3 linked regions of the Oreochromis niloticus genome follow. The protein of the gene in region 2 purifies or fractionates together with the protein of the main gene of each other region. This does not show direct contact. Links are inferred from orthologs where the notes say so. Each region holds a gene or a part of one and is shown on either strand. Other genes may lie near its edges.

What was found. Proteins that work in one complex are often made in the same cells at the same time.
Region 1: the proteins of dnajb11 (region 2) and sdf2 purify together in Homo sapiens (affinity purification with mass spectrometry; 3 studies listed by BioGRID and IntAct, counting the BioPlex papers as one, with this or other methods). This does not show direct contact. The link is inferred for Oreochromis niloticus from reciprocal best matches to the Homo sapiens genes DNAJB11 and SDF2.
Region 3: the proteins of dnajb11 (region 2) and sdf2l1 purify together in Homo sapiens (affinity purification with mass spectrometry; 3 studies listed by BioGRID and IntAct, counting the BioPlex papers as one, with this or other methods). This does not show direct contact. The link is inferred for Oreochromis niloticus from reciprocal best matches to the Homo sapiens genes DNAJB11 and SDF2L1.

Annotation. Positions count from the first base shown.
Region 1 is NC_031975.2:17,383,037-17,390,918, reverse strand, and holds the start of sdf2 (stromal cell-derived factor 2), read right to left. Parts: upstream 3,016-7,882; 5' UTR 2,917-3,015; coding exon 2,733-2,916; intron 1,457-2,732; coding exon 1,260-1,456; intron 1-1,259. Other genes in the region: supt6h (transcription elongation factor SPT6), read left to right, coding at 6,241-6,340, 6,420-6,593.
Region 2 is NC_031987.2:32,688,144-32,695,600, forward strand, and holds the start of dnajb11 (dnaJ homolog subfamily B member 11), read right to left. Parts: upstream 3,019-7,457; 5' UTR 2,875-3,018; coding exon 2,801-2,874; intron 2,379-2,800; coding exon 2,222-2,378; intron 617-2,221; coding exon 519-616; intron 429-518; coding exon 296-428; intron 99-295; coding exon 1-98. Other genes in the region: tbccd1 (TBCC domain-containing protein 1), read left to right, coding at 4,178-4,240, 4,315-4,581, 4,702-4,860, 5,019-5,135, 6,896-7,145, 7,235-7,421. UniProt on the Homo sapiens protein: As a co-chaperone for HSPA5 it is required for proper folding, trafficking or degradation of proteins.
Region 3 is NC_031977.2:3,585,212-3,592,732, reverse strand, and holds the start of sdf2l1 (stromal cell-derived factor 2-like protein 1), read right to left. Parts: upstream 3,016-7,521; 5' UTR 3,001-3,015; coding exon 2,978-3,000; intron 2,382-2,977; coding exon 2,125-2,381; intron 1-2,124.

The sequences.
Region 1 (7,882 bases), on a different chromosome or scaffold from region 2:
ATATTATTCGATAGCAGCCCATTTTAATAATATGTAACATGATATAGCATCTTTTTACAATTTTGTGGCATTGAGCATGTGCCAGCACCACCTGGGGATACCATGATTTCTTACTGAAGAGAAAAGAACTTGCAGAACTTGTACTCAATGTAGTTTTTTCATATTTTTTTTTAATTAGAGTTGTTTTGAGATGTGATTTGTTAATATTGGGATGTTGGTATCACTGATTTGTCCAAAGTATGAATATTTGTTGTAAACTGGTTTTATAATTGAGGTAATTTATGAATTTAAGTGATCATTTCAGAATAGGAGACACAGACGGTCCGGTTTTCGAATCAGGTGGTGATGTTAAATGTTATTTGGCTTTTTGAAGATTGTGTTGAAGTTTCGAGTGGACTCATTCATTACCTGATTGATAGTACGCAGTGTGAGATGTCTAGCCAGGAAACTTTTTTTTTTTTGTACATGATGAAGGTCACACAGACTGAAATGTTGTAAGTCAATAAAAAATTATGATGAGCTGGACAGTGTGTGGAGGTTATATATTGTTCCACCCAATTATTTCTTACAATTTCAGCATTTCTTTATCATGTAGAAAAAATAGGATGTACAGTTGTAATTGCACTTCCTTTTATTATATTTTAATATCTCAGATATTAAATGTTTAGTTTTTTAGAAAGGAGAGTTTCACTGCTCCAGCCCGCTTAAGATCAAAGTGGGCTGTACGTGGCCCACAATATAAAATGGGTTTCACATGTCTGCAGTAGAGCAACAGCTACCTGAGCAGAAATATAAACTAAAATTTCTGTTTTCCTAAGGTACGCATCTTCCAACCCTCTGACACTTTGGTCAGACAGTGTTCTCACACTTTCTCAGGATTTGAGAGTTTTATGCTGACCTGAGGCTGTTTTCCCAGAGAGTTTGTTAAGTATAAAAGCTGCTGTCAACTCAGGTTCACTGCAAAAATGTTGGTTTAGTTTTGAATAAAAGTGAAAGGCACCCTGTTTTTGTGTGTCTGTGTGTGTTTACACAAGACTGCACATTAATAAATGTTACAGCTGTTTATTGCTTCAGTGTTTTTCCTAATCTTCCTAATTCCTAAACTTATAATCAGCTTTTTTGATTAAGAAGAAAAAAAAATAAAATCCATCTTCTACACACTGACATCCTTCCCCAATTTTTGCAAAGAGAAACCTGGTAAATCCCACACAAAGCCCCAAAGCTCTCAGCTTTTCCCTTGTACTTCTCGCACCACCCACCTGGTTAGATGACAGCGGGGAGGCGAAGTAGTGGCTATGGAGGTTACGTCCTGTGTTGACATGAGTGAGGCGAATCGTCTGCCCACACTTAACTGGGGTACCTCTATGGCACAAGGCATCACTGGTCCCTCGAACACTCCAATAGCTGTTGCTGTCTTCTACTGCAGAAACCCCTGTTACAGACTGCTGTCCACTACCTGCCTCAGAGACACAGTCAGCAGAGGATTGTTAAAGATATGAGAGACAGTTAAAATAAAAAAATCAAATTTCATCTAGTATAGAAGATTGTGATTTAAAACCAGTCCTCTGTGTAACTTATGAACTTTGTGTATGTGATGAAGGTTAGGTTTGCTTTATTGATCGGTTTTTGGCAAACAGCAATTCCATATGCTTGCGTACAACTACAAGTCAGTGTGGGGAAACAATGTTATAACTAGAGTTTTCTGATCTTGTTTTCTTATCTTGTTATTTCCTTTTGTGACGCATTATTGCATACACCAGTGCCAAATGCTGATATTAGGATTAAAACATGCAGGTACTCTAATAGGAAACAGTAGAGGTGGAGGTATTCAATGGAGACAAAAGGAATGCAGAGAGTTTCTTACAGAGGAAAAAAGAGTGACAGGGTGGCAGATGATCTGCTGTGAAGACCCCTACCCAGAGCTCATGACTGCTGGTGAGAGTAGAGATGAAGATTCACTGGTAAATCGACAGGTTCGCTTTTACACTCAGCTCTCACTTCATTACAATGGACTGGTACCACGGGAGCCAATCTCCAGCAATCTCCCCCCTCACTTGTAAACAAGACCCCAAGATACTTAAACATCTCCACTTCCTGGCCGGGAGTGTGCCTTCCAATCTTTTTCAGCTGAGGATCAAGGCCTCAGACTCAGAGGCGCTGATTCTCATTGCAAGGCCATTTTACTGTGTACAGGTGTCATTTGCATCTATACTCAGAGTTTATGGAGTTGTTATAAAACCTCTATCGCTGACTAGTACTTGCACATATTTAACACCACCCTGGGTTCTTGCTCTGACAGCTAGTACAGATGGAAAGAATCAGTGTAAACACAGTTTATGCAGCTGACTTAGAGGGAGTTGTGTTGGAGATGTGATTTCACCTTCGCTTCTTCTGTCTTTCAATAAAAGACCACAACAGAAACAGAAACAGTCTTAACTGTGTCCTAACTGTGGTTGTGCACATGAACGTGTTTATTTGTCTCTCCAGCAAACCTTAGAAATTGAGCTGACCTCCTAAAACGTGTCACATTTAACTGCAAACATGATGGAGTTAAGTTGAACATTATGACAAACTCACACTGACACAGTTAATGGCTGAACATTAAAAAGTCAGAATTGTATTTTTTATCCACCAATGCAAACTTAGTCATGAAGGAAAATAACTGTAGTTATTGTTAACTGAAAAACACGAGTGTTTATGAATGAAAAGATTAGTTTTGACAGCAAACTTACCGGACCCGTAGCGTACGTCGTGCGAGTGTAGTCTCACGTTGTGCTTTAAATTCAACAGTTTAATGACTGATCCGCAGGTCACAAAGCTCAGTTCCGTGCCAAGGGAGAGTCCAAACACACAGGAAAGCAATAACAAAATGGCCTGTAGAAAGCGTGGCATACTATCACAGTTTAATTTACCCATTCCTTCTTTGTAAAAAAGCCAAGCACATCCAGCCGCTGATCCTTCTCAGAGATTTTCATTATTTTTCGCTACGTCATTAAAAACGTACAGTAAGCCAGTGTTGAGTTCAGGAGACAGCGCCTCTAGCGGCTCGGAACGGCAACTGCACGGTCCTATTTGGTTTTGGGGTTATTTAAGCGTATTTTTTGGCATCTCTGCGCTATATTTCAAATTATATTTATACTAGGAAAAATACCTTAACGATAGTAAAAGATGTCATTGTGCTATTGTGTTATTGTGTTATTTTAGTTGTTTATGCTTGTATAGAATCGAGGTAAACCGCAGGGGGCGTTACCTTGCATCGGAAGAGGTTGGAAGTTCCCTTACTGCATCCCGGAATTGTCATCACGCTGCTCGTTCTCGGCCATTTTTACAAGTGCAAGCTCCGAAATATAACATACAATACAACTGAGTTGTTACCGTTAATATCTTCGGAGTACGCTACCCCACTGAGACGTGTAAGTCAGTGTCTTTTAGCATGATTATCTGCTATGTCTTCACTGCGATGTCTTCTTTTTCAAGTAGTTAGTACCAATGCTGATGGCTGTTGTTGTCTTCCCAGCTAATGCCAGGCTAACACATCGATATGCTAAAGCGTTAACTAGCCAGCGTTAAACTGCGAAGTTGGTTTGGAGGCCTTGGTTAATTTATGCAATGGTGAATTTACTTTAGGTAAAACGGCCTTTTATTGCTAACACGTTTCAAAGCAACAACGTGCCACCGTTGTACTAGCTGCAATGTTCCTTTCTAGTTTATTAGCATTGCTAATAGTCGTTTAGCCTCGTTCGTTGCTAGCGAAGACGTTAGCTTTAGCTACCGTTATTAACAAAAAGTGTTTATACAACAGCCTTTTACTTCTTTAACTTGAAGATTTCACCCGGATTACTTACTCTACCGTTATATTTAAAGCAAGTATGCTGTTTGTCCTGTAATCACGACCAGTGTTTTGTATGTGTGCGTGTGTGTGTGTGTGTACGCATTGCGACATGACTAGGTGAAGTCATTGTTAAAGCCCGCTTGTTAAGTCTTTCTGGCATTATAACACAGTGCTAGAGGAAAAAAATCATTCAGAGGGTTGACTAAAAGTATACCCTTTGTCTCTGTTAACGTTAGGCGTTGTTTGTCAACATAACACATATTTTTTATGAAGCTCTCAAAAGGCATCGTTTTCAGGTGTAATCTTTCGCTTTTGTGTGGAAGTCTGCAGCTAAGTCCTCATTTCTTTATACTTCACATAGCTCAGCATGGTGTGTAGTATATTCATAAATAGTTGAGGACAGATAAACAATATCTGGAAGACATGTCTTCAAGAAGTAAGAAGAAAAATCATCAAACACTTGACACAGGATATGAGAAATGCATCTGGACCTTCAGATGATGCCAAAGCATCATCAGAAATTGTCTCAGTAGAATGCTGAAGTACATAAAACTGGACTAAAAATCAGTGACGGTAGGGATTATGATGTGATCAATCAAAATTAGATTTTTTTTTTGTTCAAATTAAAATATATATAAAGATATCTAGATGAATGGTGGAGGTCAGGAGAGGGGTACAACAGTGCGTCTCTACAGCCATCTATAAAACACAGTGGAAGCTCTGTCAGGGTTTGGGGTTACATTTCAGCCAGTGTTGTTGGGGATCTTGTCAAAATGGATCGAATTATGATTACAGAAAATTAATGCCAGGTTAGCTGAAACATCAGCTAAATCATCAGAAAAGCATGTGATTTTTAATTTTTCAGAATGACAATGATTTCAAAACACACGGCCAATTCAGTAAAAACATACCTGGATAGAAAAACACACAGTGGAACTCTGTCATGCCAGGTTTAGAGAGGTGGCCTTTGTGAAGCCTACGACATAACCCACATAAGCGTCTGATGTTGTTGCCCACATTTATGCTTGTCTGTAGTTACATGTTAATTAACGTGTAGTGTTTCTTGCGTGGTGCAGGCCTGTAGAAAAATAAAATAAAATACTGGGACTTGTTTTTTACCTTCTGGGTCCCCACCCTTTGTTGTGGTCTTTTTTTCTTTAATTTTTTTTCTTCAGACGCACACATGTGTGTCTCAGGTTTTTCCACTTCTTCGTATATTCCATCACGTCCATTTAGGTAGTTTTAGCAATCTCCCTCCAGAAATCTGCTGACATTTGTGAGACCTTATATTTATACTGATTTTTATTCTTTATACTGTGGCAATTATTGTTATTTCTTTCACTGATAATCTTTTTTAAAAGTGCGGCGAAAAAGTAGCCGGAATCGAACTGACAATCACAATAGCTGCTGGCTGCATCGAACTCGACGTGTAGTAACATTTCTCAGGGGGTGTAAGTCAGATTATGTGGAATATTATAGCATAGGGTTAAAAGGGGTTTCCGTAGATTTCACAGAGAAGTCTAAATCAACTTTAGATTTCTGCAGGAAATCTATGTCATAACTATGTCAAAAACCCCTCTTAACCCGCATTGCAGCCTTCTGTGCCCGTGATAATTGCGGGCTGCATCAAGCTGACATGTAGCTACATTTCTTGGAAGGTGAAAGTCAGGTTACGTGGAAGGTTATGGCATAGGGTTAAAAGGCATTTCCAATTATGTTTTAAGTAACAATGCAGATTCCCCACTGAAGCAACATTCAGGTAACAGTCATAGATTGGCATCCCCAGAGCCTGGACCTCAACGTTGTTGAAGCAATGTGTGAGCATCGTGACAGACAACAGAACAAAAGGAAGCCAATATGCAAATAAAAGCTTTGAATGTCCTTCAGAAAGCCTGGAAAACTATTCCTTAAAGAAATTTCAAGAAAGCTTGGGTAAGAGAGTCAAGGCTGTGTTGAAGAATAAAGGTGGTCATATCAAATATTTCCATGTATGTTTACATTTCTCTCAATAAATCACTGCAACAATTTTTTAACAGAATATGAAGAAATGAGAAAGAAAGTAAAGAATCAAAATTTCTGCACAGCACTATTATACATTACTATCAAATTGTTATATTAATCACAAACTCATTAATAATCAGTAATAACCTGATGAATAATCTATATGTAATACAGGAGATGCTATAACATCTTTGGTAATACATTGACATATGTAAATTATTATTTAATAGTTTAAAGGGACGTTAAGCAACCTTTAAAGTTCTTATTCTAGCACAGTGTTATCCAGTATAGTGTAAAATTTGTGTGTATTTGGCTTTTGTCAGGAGAATTTTGAGAGAACCCAATATTGCCCGATTGATGACATTTTTATTAACAGCATTTTAAACTTTTTCTCAGGAACAGTAGTCATGTCGGACTTTATTGAAAGTGAGGCAGAAGAGTCGGAGGAGGAGTTTGAGGAGAAGGACTTAAAACCTAAGAAGAACCAGAGATTTATGGAAGAAGATGGTAAGATCTGATTTCTTTAACTTTGGGAATGTGTGTTGAAGTTGTATGGCATGTGGACCCCTCATCTGTCATTTCTCAGCAGATGAAGAGGAAGAAGAGGATAACCTAGAAGACCAGGATGAGAAAGGGAATTTACGTGGCTTCATTGACGATGGAGAAGAGGTAGAAGAGGAGGAAGAAGCAGAAAAAAGTGGAAGTGGAGGGGGGAGTGATTCAGAGGAGGAAGTGAGGCGCCGACATAAAAAAAAGCGCAGTAAGTTCACCTGGTGTTTTTAAAGGAATGTTAAACCTGTGTGATTAATTACATATATCTATTTAACCTGTCCAGTCAATAGAGTGAAAACACTCATGCCCCATTATTATGCCATATCACACAATATTAGTGAGTGGAAGATGATCGTGGTTACTTCAGTCTTGCAGCCATGTTGGTACCCTACTAAGCAGTAATTTTGAATCCTATAAGTAATGCATTGAAGGAGAACCATAAGGCCACAGTATACCCACCGCTTTGGTCACTCTGCACTCTGCTGAGAAGGTCATGACACAATCGCATCCATTTAGCCATCTATGTTCGCCATTATAGCGCAGGTAGCAGCTGCAGTATTCTCCTGAATAATAGGTGTTGCCGCTCAGGCAGTACTTCTACCATGTAAAGGAGAATTAAAGGCAGTGCCTGTTTTTCCAGAAAATCTATCTTTTTAAGCAGTTGCAACAACTCTCAGCTTCTGTACTGATACATCATTAAAAAATTGCAAAACTGTGACAATGTGTCCTCAACCCAGCAGTGGTGGCACTATGCATCAGGTTACAAAAATCGAGGGGTGCATGACCATTAGAAATGGTGACTTGCAACAGCAGGTGTGATGTTGGTTTTATCATATGGTGCTGTTTGCCAGCCACCACATGGTATGTTTAGTGGAGTCTTAACGTTCATGCCAGTGGTTTCCAGGACAGAAAAACTGTATGCATTAAATCACTAATCAAGTCTGTTCAAAAGTGCTGTCAAAGGTTTAGTGACTTTGCCCACAACAGAGTTTGAAAGTTTTTTTTTTCTTACCACGAATACACAAATTTACCCAATATTACGGCTTCATTAACAGGTTAATCTAGAGTACTAACATCAGAACAAATGATATGCTGATTCGAGTTATAGGTGCAGTAAGGCCTCAAAAGTGAAAACATTTGACTATATCTTTTCTACAGTAATAAGTTGAGACTCCTGCCCTATTATAATTTCTTTCTTTCTTTCTTTCTTTCTTTCTTTCTTTCTTTCTTTCTTTCTTTCTTTCTTTCTTTCTTTCTTTCTTTCTTTCTTTCTTTCTTTCTTTCTTTCTTTTTGCTCAGTTGCTTGAGAAGTACACATCAAATATGCCAATATATTAAAGGTTACTGCAAAAATTAAGTAGTACAAAAATGTTAAATGAGGTTTGTAATTTTGGAAAAGTGGTACCTTTTGCTTAGGTGGTTGAGCAGAGAGCACTGGTAGATTTTCAGATATAACGTTTTCAATTATGTTCTTAGCATAATATTAAATCTCTGAAA
Region 2 (7,457 bases):
AAACGTCCAGGTCCCAGCTGGGTCGTCCTCATTTCCTGTCTGCAGTTACACTTCCTTTTACCAGGAGCTTCTTTAGCTACAGGCTTGTTACGTACAACCTGCATACAGCGGGGAAATACGTGTTGATAACATGAAAATCTACAGGTAGTAAATTAGACGATTCATTGGTAAGCCTTGCATTTTGATGACTGAACGAAGTGACACTATAGCTAGCTCCTCTTTGTGGAACAAACTTGAAAATGTGAATAAAGGATGCTAAAGATTGTTCGTTTGGAAACCAGGAGTTTCTCCACACCTCCACAAAGTTCCCAGAGTACACTTCTTCCAGTGTAACCTCCAGGTCCAGTATTATGTCATTTCCTCTGGGAATATTCCTGTCCTGTTGCTGTCGGTTGCCACCAAACATGAACCCAAAGTCACCAAAGAAGCTACAGAGGGAGGAACAGTAGCATGAGTGGACATTATACATACATTTAACTGAACTTGGTATAAAATCCAGCTGAGCTCATGAAACCAACCTGGAGAAGATATCGCTGTGAGAGCTGTGGTGACCCTCTTTGAGCCCGTCTTCTCCATACATGTCATACTGTTTCCTTTTCTCCTCATCTGAGAGGACCTACAAACAAACAACCTGTCAATCACCAACAGCCACAAGCCGCAGTCTTTGTTCTCTCCGCTGATACAACGTGTGGAGTGTCATCATTCAATGTAAAAATTAAACAAAAAAAAAAAAACATCGATGGGCTCTTCAAAGCTGTGTTAGTTTTTGAAATTGATTTTGATTCATTAAACAATGAAATGAAAAGTCAGTCAGCTGTTACTACTAAAACAATCTTAACGCTTACGTATAAAATATACACTTTTTCTTGATTTTCAAATACAAATATGAGAATACAAACAGGTGACCCATTAGAAGGAACAGCCAGCAATTACATTGAGGCTGTAGAAGTGCTTTCACCTGAGAAAAGCAGCAATGGCTCCATTCTTAGAAAATGATTAGATTTTAGAAATTCACAGCAAACGTTTCAAAAGAAAAGAAAAAAAAATCTGCTCTCATCTGCATGGAGTAGCACTAATGGCTGTTGCTACTGCTAATCAGCTCGTCATTGTCTCCCATTGTTTCAATCACAGACTATAGATAAAAGATGCTCTCCCATCATTAAGCATCAAGTTGAACCTCATTTCTTTTGTCAACCTTTTTGAAACTAGATATATGTGAGAGGCAGATCAGACTGTACCGAGAAATAATCTTCTTGACTCTAACAGTGAGCATAATTTACAACATGAAGATTATGCTGTAACAGGACTTGAAACTAGTAAGTGAGACCCTCAACCAATGAAGAAGGGCTGTTTTCCCTCATTCAGCAACAACAGGCAAAAATCCAAGTGGGGACGTCCCAGTTAAACTTTTCAGCTTCAAGGTGAACATCTGAAGAGACTACCAAAGAATGTTGGATATGTTGCTGTTTCTACAATCAGTAACCCATTTTAAATTCTGGCTTTGAAATATTTTTATTTGTTATATATTGTACCACTACTTTAGATTTCTTTAAACAAATAACAAAATGAACCATAAAGTTCAGTAGGTATCTTTTTTGTGCCTGAGGTACCTCAATAATAACAATTAAAAAAACAAAACAAAACAAAACAAAAAACAAAACAAAACAAAAAACACACAACTTAAAAAGAATTTATCTAGCTCTTGTCAATTATTTTCAAAACCGATACTTGCGTTTTATTATATTGTCATTCATTTAAATGTCCATTGACACGCCTCGACTAATAAAACCCGATTAATAACAAATTTCTGTTTTGTGTTACAAATCAGTGAACTCGCTGCGGCATCCTTCCGTTTTTAAAAGAAACGTGAACGTTTGACACGGAAACACCTGCAGCGCTTATCTGAATCCACTCCCACTCTTCCACGTCTGAATTTTCAATACACCAGCTGTGCTGCCTGACAGCCAATCAGATTCAGCCACACGGTCTAATCGTCCAATCGCAGAGATCTTACCAACAACAACCAAATTTCAGCCTTATAAAACAGTTGTATCGGCGTCTTGGGCGCTTTTATACTCACATATGATTAAATCTACACTACTGTAACCGAACACAGCTGATACTGGGGAAATATAACAGTCTTTTAACTCAAAAACAATTTCATTGTTGCTCATCGCGGATATCACTAGCATCATGTACACAACAATGGCTACACATCTACCTCATAGGCTGCCCCCAAGTCTGCGAACTTGTCCTGGGCTTGCGGGTCGTCTTGGTTTCTGTCGGGGTGTAACTGCAAAGCCAGCTTTCTGTAGGCCTTCTTGATGTCCCTGATTGATGCACTCTTGCTCACCCCCAAGATTTTATAGAAATCTCGCCTACAGGAGAGAGGAAGATAACACAAATGAGGCAGACACATGAGGCACAGAGGTAGAAGAAAAACGAGAAACCGTTATCAAATGGCAATGATGCTACTTTTAGATTGTAAAACACCGAGTTAGCTACAATCTCCGGGGGGTAAGCCAGTGTGGCTTCCATAGACAGTATGCAGCAGCTTCAGCTACCGTAATGGCTAGCTCCAAGCTAACTAGGCTAGGTAGTCACTTAAAACACGTCCCTTACAAGTGGTGGATACACTTTTTAATCAGTGAAGCGCAAAAGAGAACAAAAGCACTTATTAGCAAGTTAGCCCTGTGTCAGACTGTTCCACGCATGGAGAGCAGGTCTAGACCAATCACAGTGAAACATGTGTACCAGCTGGCGATGCTGTTTCGCCGCTGTCCGAGCGAACACCACTTACCCGGCAAGCACCGCTGTGGTAGCATAAAGAAGCAGGCAGCACACGTTACACAGGTTCATCCCTTTAGCAGCCATAGATCTCAGGATTTCTCACGGAGGTAGCAAAGAACAACCGGCTTTTTAAAGCTCGGATCCCAGCTGCCAGTCAGTCAGCCACAAGCCTTCTTCCTCCTGTCAGAGAAAGCCCGCCCACTGGATGTCGGCAAATCCTCCTCTCCCGAAAAACTCTGCCCAGCGTTAAAGAGACAGCTCACGTCGTTCTTCTCAACTCCTTCTTGTCAGTTATAACTGTTTGCACCGACGTTTTGTTTTGTTTTTTTGTTTTTGTTTTTTGTTACATGTATAAGTACAACTAATAAAAAACTGAACATTTTGGTGAATAAAAAAACCCGGACACCATGCTCATAGTGCAGGATGCAGCGCGCCCCCGCGAGCTGCGCGCAACAGATGTCTGCTGAAGTCTGAGTGGAGAGGAGGGCGCCAAATAGGAAGGACGGCAGATGTGCGTCTGACAGCTAACCAGGAACCACTGCACTCGTCCTCCTCTGTATACTCACCTATGAGTCCTTGACCTGTCGGTCCTTTTCTCATTCAGGCCGAAGATCCCAGTAACAGGACGAGGACACAAAGTCTGACACCAGAGGCGTGCTAGCTCAGCTAGCTAACTGGAGCTAAGCTAGCTGGCCAGCCCTACTTTTTTATATTGGAGTTAACTTTATGAGCAAATAGCAGTGCGCCTGGTATTACTGGTATTTGGCTTCCTTTCTTGTTGCGCCACAGCAAAAACAAGTGAGTTTTGTGCATATATTTACTGTGTTACTGGATTTGTGTTAGCTTAGTTTTGATTGGCTTGTCAAACTTGAAATTAGATGCCTAGTGTTGATGCACAAGCAGCCTGGTTGCCAGGAAGATATTTTTCACCCTGTAATTAAACGGTCATTTTTGAAGATTAGGTCTGTTGTCGCTGTACTAAAAAAAAAACAGCAATGAAAAGGTTCATGAAATGCGATGAGTTTTAAAAGAAAGTGAGTAAAGGCAGAACATTCTGCGCTGTATCTGAATTGATACACAGTTGTGTGTGTACAGAGTTAAAGTGGCCGGAGTATGAGTGACATGGTGAACTCAACAGTGTGGACAGAGGTTGAGTCTGTGCAAAATAACAAAGCATAATGTTATTGTAACTGTCCAGTTTGACCAGTTTAACTGCTAATGCTCCCCAGCTCTTTCCCTGGTTCGTGGCTAATAATCTTAATCCAGTAATTGCACTGTCATTGTGATTTAAAAGGTTTGGAAAAGTGCATTGTACTTACAGTGTCAAATACTCAAGTAATTAATTATCGGTGTATGTCACATGGTTTTGTACTCTGACTCTTCAGACATGGAGGCAAACGGCGTGAGCATATGGCCACGCATGGAACCCTTCCTACTTGGTGCCCTACAGGTAAATATACTCCCACCATGATATCAGCCAAGAGCTGTAAATCTTGTAAATAACATGAACTACTATCATTGTAGGTGGCACCATCCTCCAAACTAAGCCTACACTATCTTCGAAAGATGGCGATCTACGTGCGAACAAGGGATGGCTGCTTCCCCATCCTGAGCTGGCCCATGTGGAGGCATATTGCCTGTGGAAAGTTGCAGCTTCTAGAAGACCTTGCGTGGCTCTACTTTGAGACCTTTGACCTGCTGATAGGTCATACACCAGAGGAGAGGCTGGAGTGGGCTGAGTGTCTTTCCCAGTGTTCTACTAAAAGTGAGCTGGACCAGCAGAGGAACAAGGTTAAATAACGTTTAAATATTTAATCCAAGGACTGATACCATTGTAACCTTGCCCTCAGATTTGAACAGCGGCTGCATATTGATAGATAACCTGTGTTTTCCCTCTCCTTTGTGTACCAGTTGTCTGTGGACACTCTGCAGTTCCTCCTTTTCCTCTACATTCAGCAGCTGAACCGTGTGTCTCTGCGCACCTCTCTGATTGGTGAAGAGTGGCCCAGCCATCGCACTCGCTCCCCGTCTCCATCAGACAGAGAGTCCAAGACTAGCTATCAGAACAAGGTTCTCTTTGCCATGAAAGATAAAACAGAATGACCAATGACGCAGCAGGATTTGTAGTATTGTGTAGTTCTAATTAGATCTAGTGCAAATTATTGTATGGTGGTGTATATGAAGTTAACCACTTATAGTCCAGTTTTGTTCCTGTTTTTGTTCTGCAGAACTGGGATGATCAGGCTCACCTGTCCTTCGTGCAAAGCCATCTGGCAGAGATTTTGGAGCTGCTAGTGGAGCCTGGTCAACTGTCGCAATCTGGACAGGCCCTAAGAGACTGCCAGGTCTGGGAACAGCAAGCACACATCCTGCTTTAGGTCACAGACACAATCTAGATATTTTTAACAATAATTGGTGCTAGCCAGAATATTTAAAATACCATTATATTTAATGTATTTTCTTAAATATATTCTTATAGATATATATGTAGAAGCAATCCCTGTGAGCTAATCAGTCTCTTTCAGGTAGTTGTTGCTTCTCTTGCATCATTATCTTGTCTCTAAGAGTACATATCTCTAATATTGTAATCTGAAGCTTGATTTCTACTTCTGCACTGAATCTGTGCAGAGCCTACATGAGTGTCAAATGTTGTTGCCAGCATTTCTGCTTGTGCGGGTTAGCCCGTGTTGCTCTGCATCTCTTTGCCAAAACACCAGTTGGCGATGGAGTTCGTCTTTGAGTTGATCTGTTCTTTTCCAGCCAATTTGAAAACTGTTATCAGAAGAAGAGGTAGCCATAAATGTGTAAAAAGAAATGTCAGTGTCTAACTCCTCAGTGATAGTCAATGCTGGGCGTCAATGTGATGTGAACTTTAATAGTTACATGTCTGTGTAGTTTCACATCAGGTTACTGCATGCTTTACAGCATAGGATTTCAGAACAGTTCAGTTAATGCAAAAGAAAAAATTCTGCAACAGGCATGCATCACTCACTCTGAGCATCGAGCGCTACTCACCTTCAGTTCAAACCCACTGTGCATGAAGGGCACCCAATTAGAAGAAAGTTGGCTGGAAGAGAGAAGACTTAAAATAGTTTGTTTCAGGTAGATGATAAACTGTGGAGCTGTACAACGTTGCTTCAGGTTATTGAGGTTTACATTAATTCACAAAAGTTCTCTTAAGGTCCTCTAGTAGCATTTCAGTCAGGTTAAGGTCTGGACTTAAAAAAACCCAGTTTGATTCTTTTCCTTTTCAGCCATCCTGCTGTTTGCTGCTGTTTGACTCTAGAATACTTTGGTATACAGAGGAGTTGATGTTGACTCAGTGACTGTAAAGTGCCCATGTCCTGTTGCTGTTAAACAAGGCCAAATCTTCACTCCTCCTCCGCTTTGCTTGACAGCTGGTATGAGATGTATGTGCTGATATGCTGTATTTGGTTATGGTGCTGTGCATAAGCTGTTCTGATGGGGTTTTTTTGTTTGTTTTTTGCAGAGATGAGGCTTTTTCCTAGCAGTCCTTCCATTCTTTTTCTAACTGTACTGTTATCAACTTTAACGTTTAACATGCTAAGTCAGGCCTCTGGACTCTGAGATGTAGCTCTTGGGTTTTTTGCTTTTTCTTAGGGCACTGCACAGTCTGACACTGGGGTGAAATTCTTCTTCTTGAATGTTTTTCACTTGTCAATAATTGTTCTTACTGCAGCATGATAATAAATAGCCTAGCCCTTCCCGACTTAGACAGCAACAAGTGCTTCTCTAAGATCAGTGCTGGTGTTGTTCCTCCTTGACATTGTAATAACACACAGCTGAATGCTCCTTAGCAGAAAACTGTCAGAACCTCTGCATTTATAGAGATGGTCAGTCTGGCATTTGATTCGTCACACCTGGCAGGTACTTTCCGTCTTAACTGATAGATGAATTAGATTTATGGCTGTACATTTTTTCTTTTACTAGTGTAAATAAAACATTAACAGCAAATTGTAGCTGTTAAAGTAAACTCATTATGTTAAAAGTTTTGATTAGAGAATTTCTCTTGTATTCATTTATACTATTTGAAATATAAAAACAAGTCTGTACTGTAACTGATCTCTCAGTTATGTTTTATCAGATATCCCTGGACGCTGTGCGGAGCTTAGGTCTGCTTCTGGAGGGCTCAGTTTGCCAAGGAAAGGCTGTTCAGCCCATTCACCGGCTGCTGACCAAAGGTCCACTCCAAACACAAGCTGGCTACTCCTCGCTCACCCACTCCTTCCCCCTGCACAATCTCCTCTCCTGCCTCCAGCGCAGCCTCACTCTGAATCCTTTTGGAATAACGGCCTGTCTCCATTCGGGCAAGAAGCTCGCTTGGGCTCAGCAAGGTTTAGTAAAATCATCTAGCATTAGTCCTTCCTCACGGTCTTCACTGTGTGCCTTTCTTTGACCACCCATGTGTGTTTGTGTGTTCTAGTGGAAGGGGCCATGAAGAGAGCCAAGATAGCCAGGAACACCCACATGGCACCACCTGGTAGTAAACTGGTGCTGATGTCCCAAGTCTTAAAACAGACCCTGGCTAAAACGTCAGACAAGCTGACTGGTGGCAACATTAAAATCCATAGATGCGCTGATGCCTTCATATACCTTCTCTCACCTCTCAGGTAAGGTTGCCTTCTAGTAATAGAGGTTGGGTTATC
Region 3 (7,521 bases), on a different chromosome or scaffold from region 2:
CTAAAAGTCACAATAAAGAAGGGGTGGGCATGTTTTACCGTCTCCAAATGCTGCCTGCAGAGAATAGGTTTTACCTTTACCTGTTTTTCTTAAATGAAAGATGCTACACCAATTTGTCTGTCCAGTTTACAATCACCGTCCAATATAAAGCCCAGATTTGTAACTGTGGGCTTAATATCTGGAGCCAATTGGCCTTTATGTTAAGCTCAATAAATATTCTATTCTGTGATGCAGCCTGTCAAACTTATAATGTTCTGACTACAGTTAGATTCAGTGTGGAGTCTGAATGTTCTCCACTGCTCTGTGTACAGACTAGTGACCTGTCCGGGTGTGCCCTGCCTTTCCCACTATTACAGGTGGGACAGTTTGGTCCATATTTTGTGGGACAAATATACCGGTAGAACACTGCATTTAATTTAAGCAGCTTTACAAAAACCACAGTCATCTTTATACACATGTCCCATTTCAGAGGTTCAAAAAATTAACAGACAATTGACTGACAAGTAGTCTGATAGCTGGGTGAGGCCTGTTCAACTGTCATTCCATAACAAATAAAGCAGACATAATATCGAAATCTGAATTCAGAGTGTTGATTTTGTCATTTAAATGTGAGACCCAAAAGAGATGTCAGTGCAAGCAGAGCTGCATGTGCATCTGAAACTGAATTGTAATCTTAAAAATGCATGTTCCACCAATAGACAGGTATGTTGTTCCCTCATGTAGTTATTTTTCCAGACTGTCAAAATCTGTGCTCTATGCAAAATGTCACAGGGGAACTAGAGGAGGCTCTCACAGCTGTCCATGAACCAATTTAAAAGGATAAACCTAGCTCAGTTTTGCATAATATTCATTTATTCTCTTTATAAGCTTAATGGTGCACCACGGCTTCTTCATGTGGCCCCATGGGAAAATTTGTTGCCCACCCTGCACCCTGTTGCACTTTGGTATACAGGTATATTTATCATGTCTCCAACTGAAGAGTGGCAAAAGAAGAAGAATGCCAGTTCACATTTGCAACAACTGTGACAGAACATCAACATGCCTATGAAGATTATGTGGGTGTTGCAGGTCAGTTAGAATGCTCACCCTAAGGCTTCAAAACAAGACCTCAGGCGATTTCCCGGTAGCACTGATAATCTGTCTATGCTTCAAGCAGTCAGCTCTCCTCTCATCCAGAGCCACTAGATTTTACACAGGCACTGCATCCACCAGCTTAGCTGCAGTGTTTCGGTTCTGATTCAGTTCTGACAATGCCTGCGGTCCAGTATGCACTCATCACAACAATCTGTTATTATAAGCTGTTCTTGTTTCTGTTGTCAGCCAGCAGTACAGCAACAATGACAGAACATTAGCAATAATGTATTCAACCCTGTACTATTAAACTATTTTCCAGTCTGCTTCTCTCCACAGCAAAGTCCCAATTTTATAGCTAACAAGTAGTCTCATAAAAGCTGCCTTGACATCAGTTAAAGTCTAGGCTGTTCTATGATTTCAGCTATATTCACTTGTAAAATGACTTATGTGAGAAAGTTTGACGTCACATGAGCCTAAAGTGGATGTGCTGACGATGTGCACTTGTCCCAGGCTGGCTACACATGTAACAAATATTACCTCGCCTTCAAACCAGCAACTTTCAGGGACGAGGCCGAAACAGAGTGCGCACATAGAGCGTGGAAGGACATCTGCTAGGATCAGACGATATGAAACATAAGTGAGTTTCATAGTTTCGGTGAGTGACTGTTACAGTATGCAAACCTTATAGCCTCTCCACCAAATGTGAAAGTCAGCCTAACCCTGGTGCTTGATGAGGACGACTCCAAACTCACTAACTTAATGGATGCTCTTATAAAGCAGGTGACTCTATAATGCCAAACTGCACTGATGGGAATATCAATTTCTCATTTTTGTGCTTATAGCACAAAAGCAGCACGCCCCCAGAGAAGACACGCACCGATGGAGCGAACCTCTTCTTAACTACAGCGTAGAAAAAGGTGGTCGGAAGTTGTGCTGGGTTGAATTTTCGGCTATTTGTTGGCTTCTACAGAGCTCTTCTAGCAGAGTAAGCGCAATACTGACGCCTCAGAGCTGCTGTGGCCGTACACCGGCAGCTCTCTGAACACTTACCTGAGCCGTACTTAACGTCGTGGGAGTGCAGTCGGACGTTGTGTCTGGTGTTGAACAGTTTGACTAGAGAGCCGCAGGTCACATAGCTGAGCTCCGAGTCTCGTCCTTCACAGCTGGACCACAGCAGCAGGAAGAGCAGCGACCTGATAAGCCCGCGGATTGTACCGACCACCTCCATCTTTGTGTCTCTGCTGTCATGACCGGCACTCACTTCCGAACCGTAGTGCTGCTTTCCACCAATCACCACTTGACAAGTCCTAAAATACGGAAGACAATGTCAACGCGTGATTGGTCAGAATAGGCATATGCGTCGTCACAACAGTTAACGCCAAACAGTAGTAGGAGTCATGCAGAAGCAGCTCCACCCCTCCAACGTTATTCCCGGTTTAAACTGCCTGTGCCTCTGATGATGCTGATGATGATGAGTAGAGGACCCTGGTACATTCGGCTCATCTGTCCTGGGAACTCAGATGAGCCGAAACAGACAAGATAAGATGTGGTTTTGCCACGCAGATGGATTCAGATCAAATCTACTTAACGAATACTGTGAACAGTAAAATAGAAAAAATCTTCTCAAAAGATGAAATAGCATTTGGTGATGTTTCAGGCCGTCACTGACCGCAAAGGCTGTTCCTCCAGATAGCTATCACCTGTTACCAGTTGGGAGTGAGGGGAAGGGAGAAGAGAGCGGAGGAAGATGGGACAAAGGACACACATGGCACCCACCACATGTACAATTTAACATACACAGTAACCTGTCTAGTATAGATGTGTTTATGTGATGTAATTTAGAAGCAAATTTCTATACATATAGACAGAGAAAAAATATGTTTTAATTATATATTGTCTTTACCAAGAAAGGGCACTTATGTTCATGCCAGTGCACTGAATCATTATGCTGCCATCATTGATAGTCAGCTGTCAGTCTCTGATCTCTCTTCTGGCCTTTCTGAAACTTTTAAATAACATAGTTATTGTCACTTTGTATTGATAGAATCCAGTTGCCCTCTGAGAACTGGGCAATACTTAATTTGATCCAAAAACACACTGAATGTAATATACCCGATCATTATGAAGATCTTGGCAATGGTCACTGGTGGAATATTCTTCGATTCTAACACATGCACACACAAAGAGTGAGAGAGGAAAAGGTGAGAGTGGGACAGAAGGATAAACAAAATAGCAAAGAAAAGAATATAATTAAATGTAGGAGAAAAGAATAGATAGAATCAGAACAGAGGTTCTGTCTCCTTTGGGTTTATTTTTACATAAGATCGACTCACAAAGTGTCTGGGAGAAGACGTGCAAAGTAAAAGACGTATAAAACCATCAAATGTAATCTCATAAACTGCCAATAGTGAAATTTAAACTATCCTAAAATCCTAAATCCTAAAATCCCTAAAATCCCCAAAATCCCTAAAACATACCTATATGGATTTACTGTATTTTAGTATTTGACTCAAATAAATGTTTTTCCTGCAGATTGATTGACTCTGCCTGTTAATCATCACACAGGCCATCTTTGTTTTTTAAACAGAATTATACGTTACATGAGTGGTGTGCGGTGACTTTTACACAAGGCAAGCATAAAAACATCCCATTAAAAATGAGTCACTGGAATTAAAATGTTTATTTTACTGTTCTGTGCATTAAACTATCAGACTGATGATTTTCTGCAGCATTAATTACGTTCTGCAACAGTGCGGTATTTTGTTTGCGTTTTGTTTTTATAGATTTTTAATCACCATCTCATAATGTCGCTGACTCATTAGTAGGATCAGATATTAGGACTCATAAGGATCACCATGTGCTGAGGAAAAGTCACATGATGCGTGAAACGCTCTTTGTTATGTGACGATGCTCAGAGCCCGAAGCAAGCCGCTATTTTGTCTATCTTATGCTAAAAAAGAATGGTTTGTAGGAACTTTGACAGCTACTTCACTCAGTAGCGGTTTTAGATACGGGCGGTTGCCCGGGGCGGCATCGTGATGGGGGGCGGCATCACGGGCATCGGCAAAAAAAAAAAAAAAAATGCTCGTACTCATGCTGCCCCGACGGCAGCCAGCGCATATTGGGAATGGCATAGGCACCGATCAGTTTTCTATCGCCCATTTGCTGGGAGTAAGGGCGCCCTCCGTTTGCGAGGTGAACCTGCTGCTTGCGGCACAGGGAGGAGAGGGCGGGGCGGCGGGGGATTCTCTGGCTGGCTGGAGCAGCATCTAATAACCAACTCGCAAAATAAAATAAAATAAAAACAAACCAACAAACACGAAAACACCAGACATCATGATGCAGACTTATAATTTGCACCCATGTTTTTTCGAAATTCCATACACGAAAAGTGAGCGCGAGAGCCCTCGGTGCGCCTGCTCGCTGCTGAAATCAAAGTAAACTTTATTGTCATCTCCGCTACATACAGTCCAGTATATAGAGAGACGAGACGATGAGGCTCCAGTTCATTGACTGTAGAAAACATGGACGACGCCACAGCTCCCCAAAAATGAAGCCAAAACGTCTCTATCGCCCCCTGGTGTCTGGCTGCAGTATAGGTCATAAACCCCGCCTCCTCCATGTTAGCGGATGGGACTGGGATCAGACTAAAATAAATTTATTCTCCTTAGATATTTTTTTTCCAAAGATTCTTTCTTTTGTTATCAATAGTTCTCATCATGCTGATTGATGTCCAAGGGGTCTCCTTTCCCATAAGTTTGATTCTAATTCCTACCGCGGTGATGTTAAATTGGGGTGAAACGTCATCATAACAGCTTTGACTGGCAGCTGCAGTCACGGAGAAACTTGCGTATCTCTGTTCGGGAATAGCAGATAGAGCGTAGGCTCTGAGAGGAGGGCACTTTTTCGGTAAGTTAATCGTGTTTGTAAGCTAATCCGTAACTACTGTCCTTAGCTATGACCTAGCTAGCTAAAATGAGCACTCGGCTGTCAGGGTTCGTTTAGCTAATCTGTGCAGGTGAATGAATTTACTAAAGAAATCAAGAGAAACGTTCCGGGCTACTCAGTCACTAATTACTGTTACTGTACTTTTATTACAAGTATTATACTGTAAAAGCAACAGGCTGCACCCTGCTGCAGCTCCTGTGCAGAACTGAATATTAAATATATGCAAACAGCAGCATGTTTTCAGTCTCTTGCCACATCTGTAAAGACAGTAACATTTTTTTTAAAAGCTTGTACTTCAGTAACTCCTCATTAATCAGGAACTATGGATTAAAGTACTGTAGTGTACTGTAATACTGAAAAAAATGTAAGAGAAGAACTTCAGATCCTGAGTGTGTGAGGACAGAAGAATCAGCTTCATTTCAATTTTGAGGGATAAAATTTATATCTGAGTTTGATGGTTCTGTTCTCTTTGTGATTACAGGGGCTGCCCTCAGATTCAGACCTCAGCACCACCCAGTGACAGCAGACAGATCATCCAACATGTTAACTGCAAAATGAACTGATGAAAACAGTACAAAGGTTAAAGTACCACACGTGCTGTAGTGAAAGCTGCAGCTTTATTGATAAAGTTAAAGACAAAAAAAACAAAAGGATTAATCACTCATGTAACAGTGTCACTATATATCAGCATTAACAGGACCTCAGTTTGGTGTTTCACAAAGCTGCTGATCTCAGACCTGCACAGCTTCCGTTTTAAACACTTGATGTACTCAGCTGCATGAAGAGCATATGAGATTTTCTCTGGCACAATTAAATAAAACCTGATGAAGGTCATAGGTCATCACTTGTATGTTGAACTACAAACTTGTCATCTGGAATTCTTTCACAGTTTTTTGCAGATAGTGTGTTATTTACTATAAGTGATTCAGAGTTATTCATACCAGAGTAACCACAGAGGATCATATATTTTTAAATATATAACTTTCTACAGGACTGAATATAATATCTTTATGTAAAAGTCTGGAGCCTCTGGGGAGTATCCGAGTATTTATAACATTACACAAACCAAAGATCTCCATCACAGTGTTCATGAAATGCTGGGTTTATCCATCTCCTGGATCGGGCCTACGGAGGAGTGCTGAAGATTTCCCTGTGAGGGAGCTGCTGGTGAAGATCATGAGTCCTGCTTGATCTATGCGATGAGCTTCAGTCTTCCTGGTGTTTCTTAAATGACGCCTCTTTCAGTGGGTCAACAGAACTTCTGGCACAGGACAGCTGCGATGAAAGAAAAGGAAGAAGTTTCTCCAAACCTCTGGACCCAGGAAACCCAGCTTGGTCCTGGTGGTCTCCCTCACTAGTTTCTCTCCAGGGTGAATGTAGCTGTTGATATAATATGGACTCTATTATTAAATGAAAAGGACAAATTAGACTACAATACTGAAACCTTCTGCTGATGTTTTTAAAGTCTCCATGTTACCAGGCTGTAGAGGGCTCTGAAGATTTAAACAGTTTTAGATCCATTACACTCAGTCTTATGTTAAAATCTCAAAGGACAGCATTATATTTTGGATATTAACAGTAACTCTGGGCTTCTATAGAGTGTGCAGATGATCTCATCGCTGTCTAAAAATGGATAAAAACAAACATAAGAAGTGCTGAATCCTTCAATAACACAGACTATTAGAGTAGCAGGTGTGTAGCATTGCTAACTAGCTAGCAACAAGCCTCCAACACAGCGCGTATGCTAGCGGCTAATCTAGCAAACGAATTAACAACAGAGTGATTTTAGAACTATAAGATGATAAGCTGTGCGTCTTTTTTTATAACAGTGATATGGTTGTATTTACCTTAATTAAAGGAGTCGTCAGTCGCGGTAAACCAGCAAAAAAACTCGAGCAGCCGGGATACGTAAAAAGTGTAGAGGGGCGTGTTTGCGGTCATGTCCAGCGGGTGTGTGGGCGGGAGCGTTACACAGTCGCTCCACCTCAAGTCACTACTGCGCAGACTCTGGCTCCAAATTTGCAAGATGGCAGCCTCCACAAGCGGGATATTTGAGAAGGGTCTGGCTGCAGCCACTGTCACTACCCAATCCGTACCGGAAACCCGATCGGTACCCCGCATGCGGGAAAAGTGTCTACTTCCGGTCGTAGCGTTTTACGATAGTTACGGGTCAGAGTATCTGTTAAGATGTTAAGAATAATAAGTATCTCTTAAAATGTTTCCAATGATGAAGCATTTCAGTACAATGTAGACAAAAACGAAAAATAAAAAGATAGTTACGGATCAGGACTCCCCGATCCTTACTGCGCATGTGCACAGTCCGACCGTACAAATCGGGTCTACCCGATCCGTACCGCGCATGTGCAGATGTTTTCTTCTTCTTCTGTTCGTTTAATGGCAGTTTACTCCCCAGTGTACGAGGATACCGCCACCTGCTGACCGAGCGAATGAACCCTGTTATAAACTGAATTAGCGTCATTTCAAATGCGTGTTAAATTT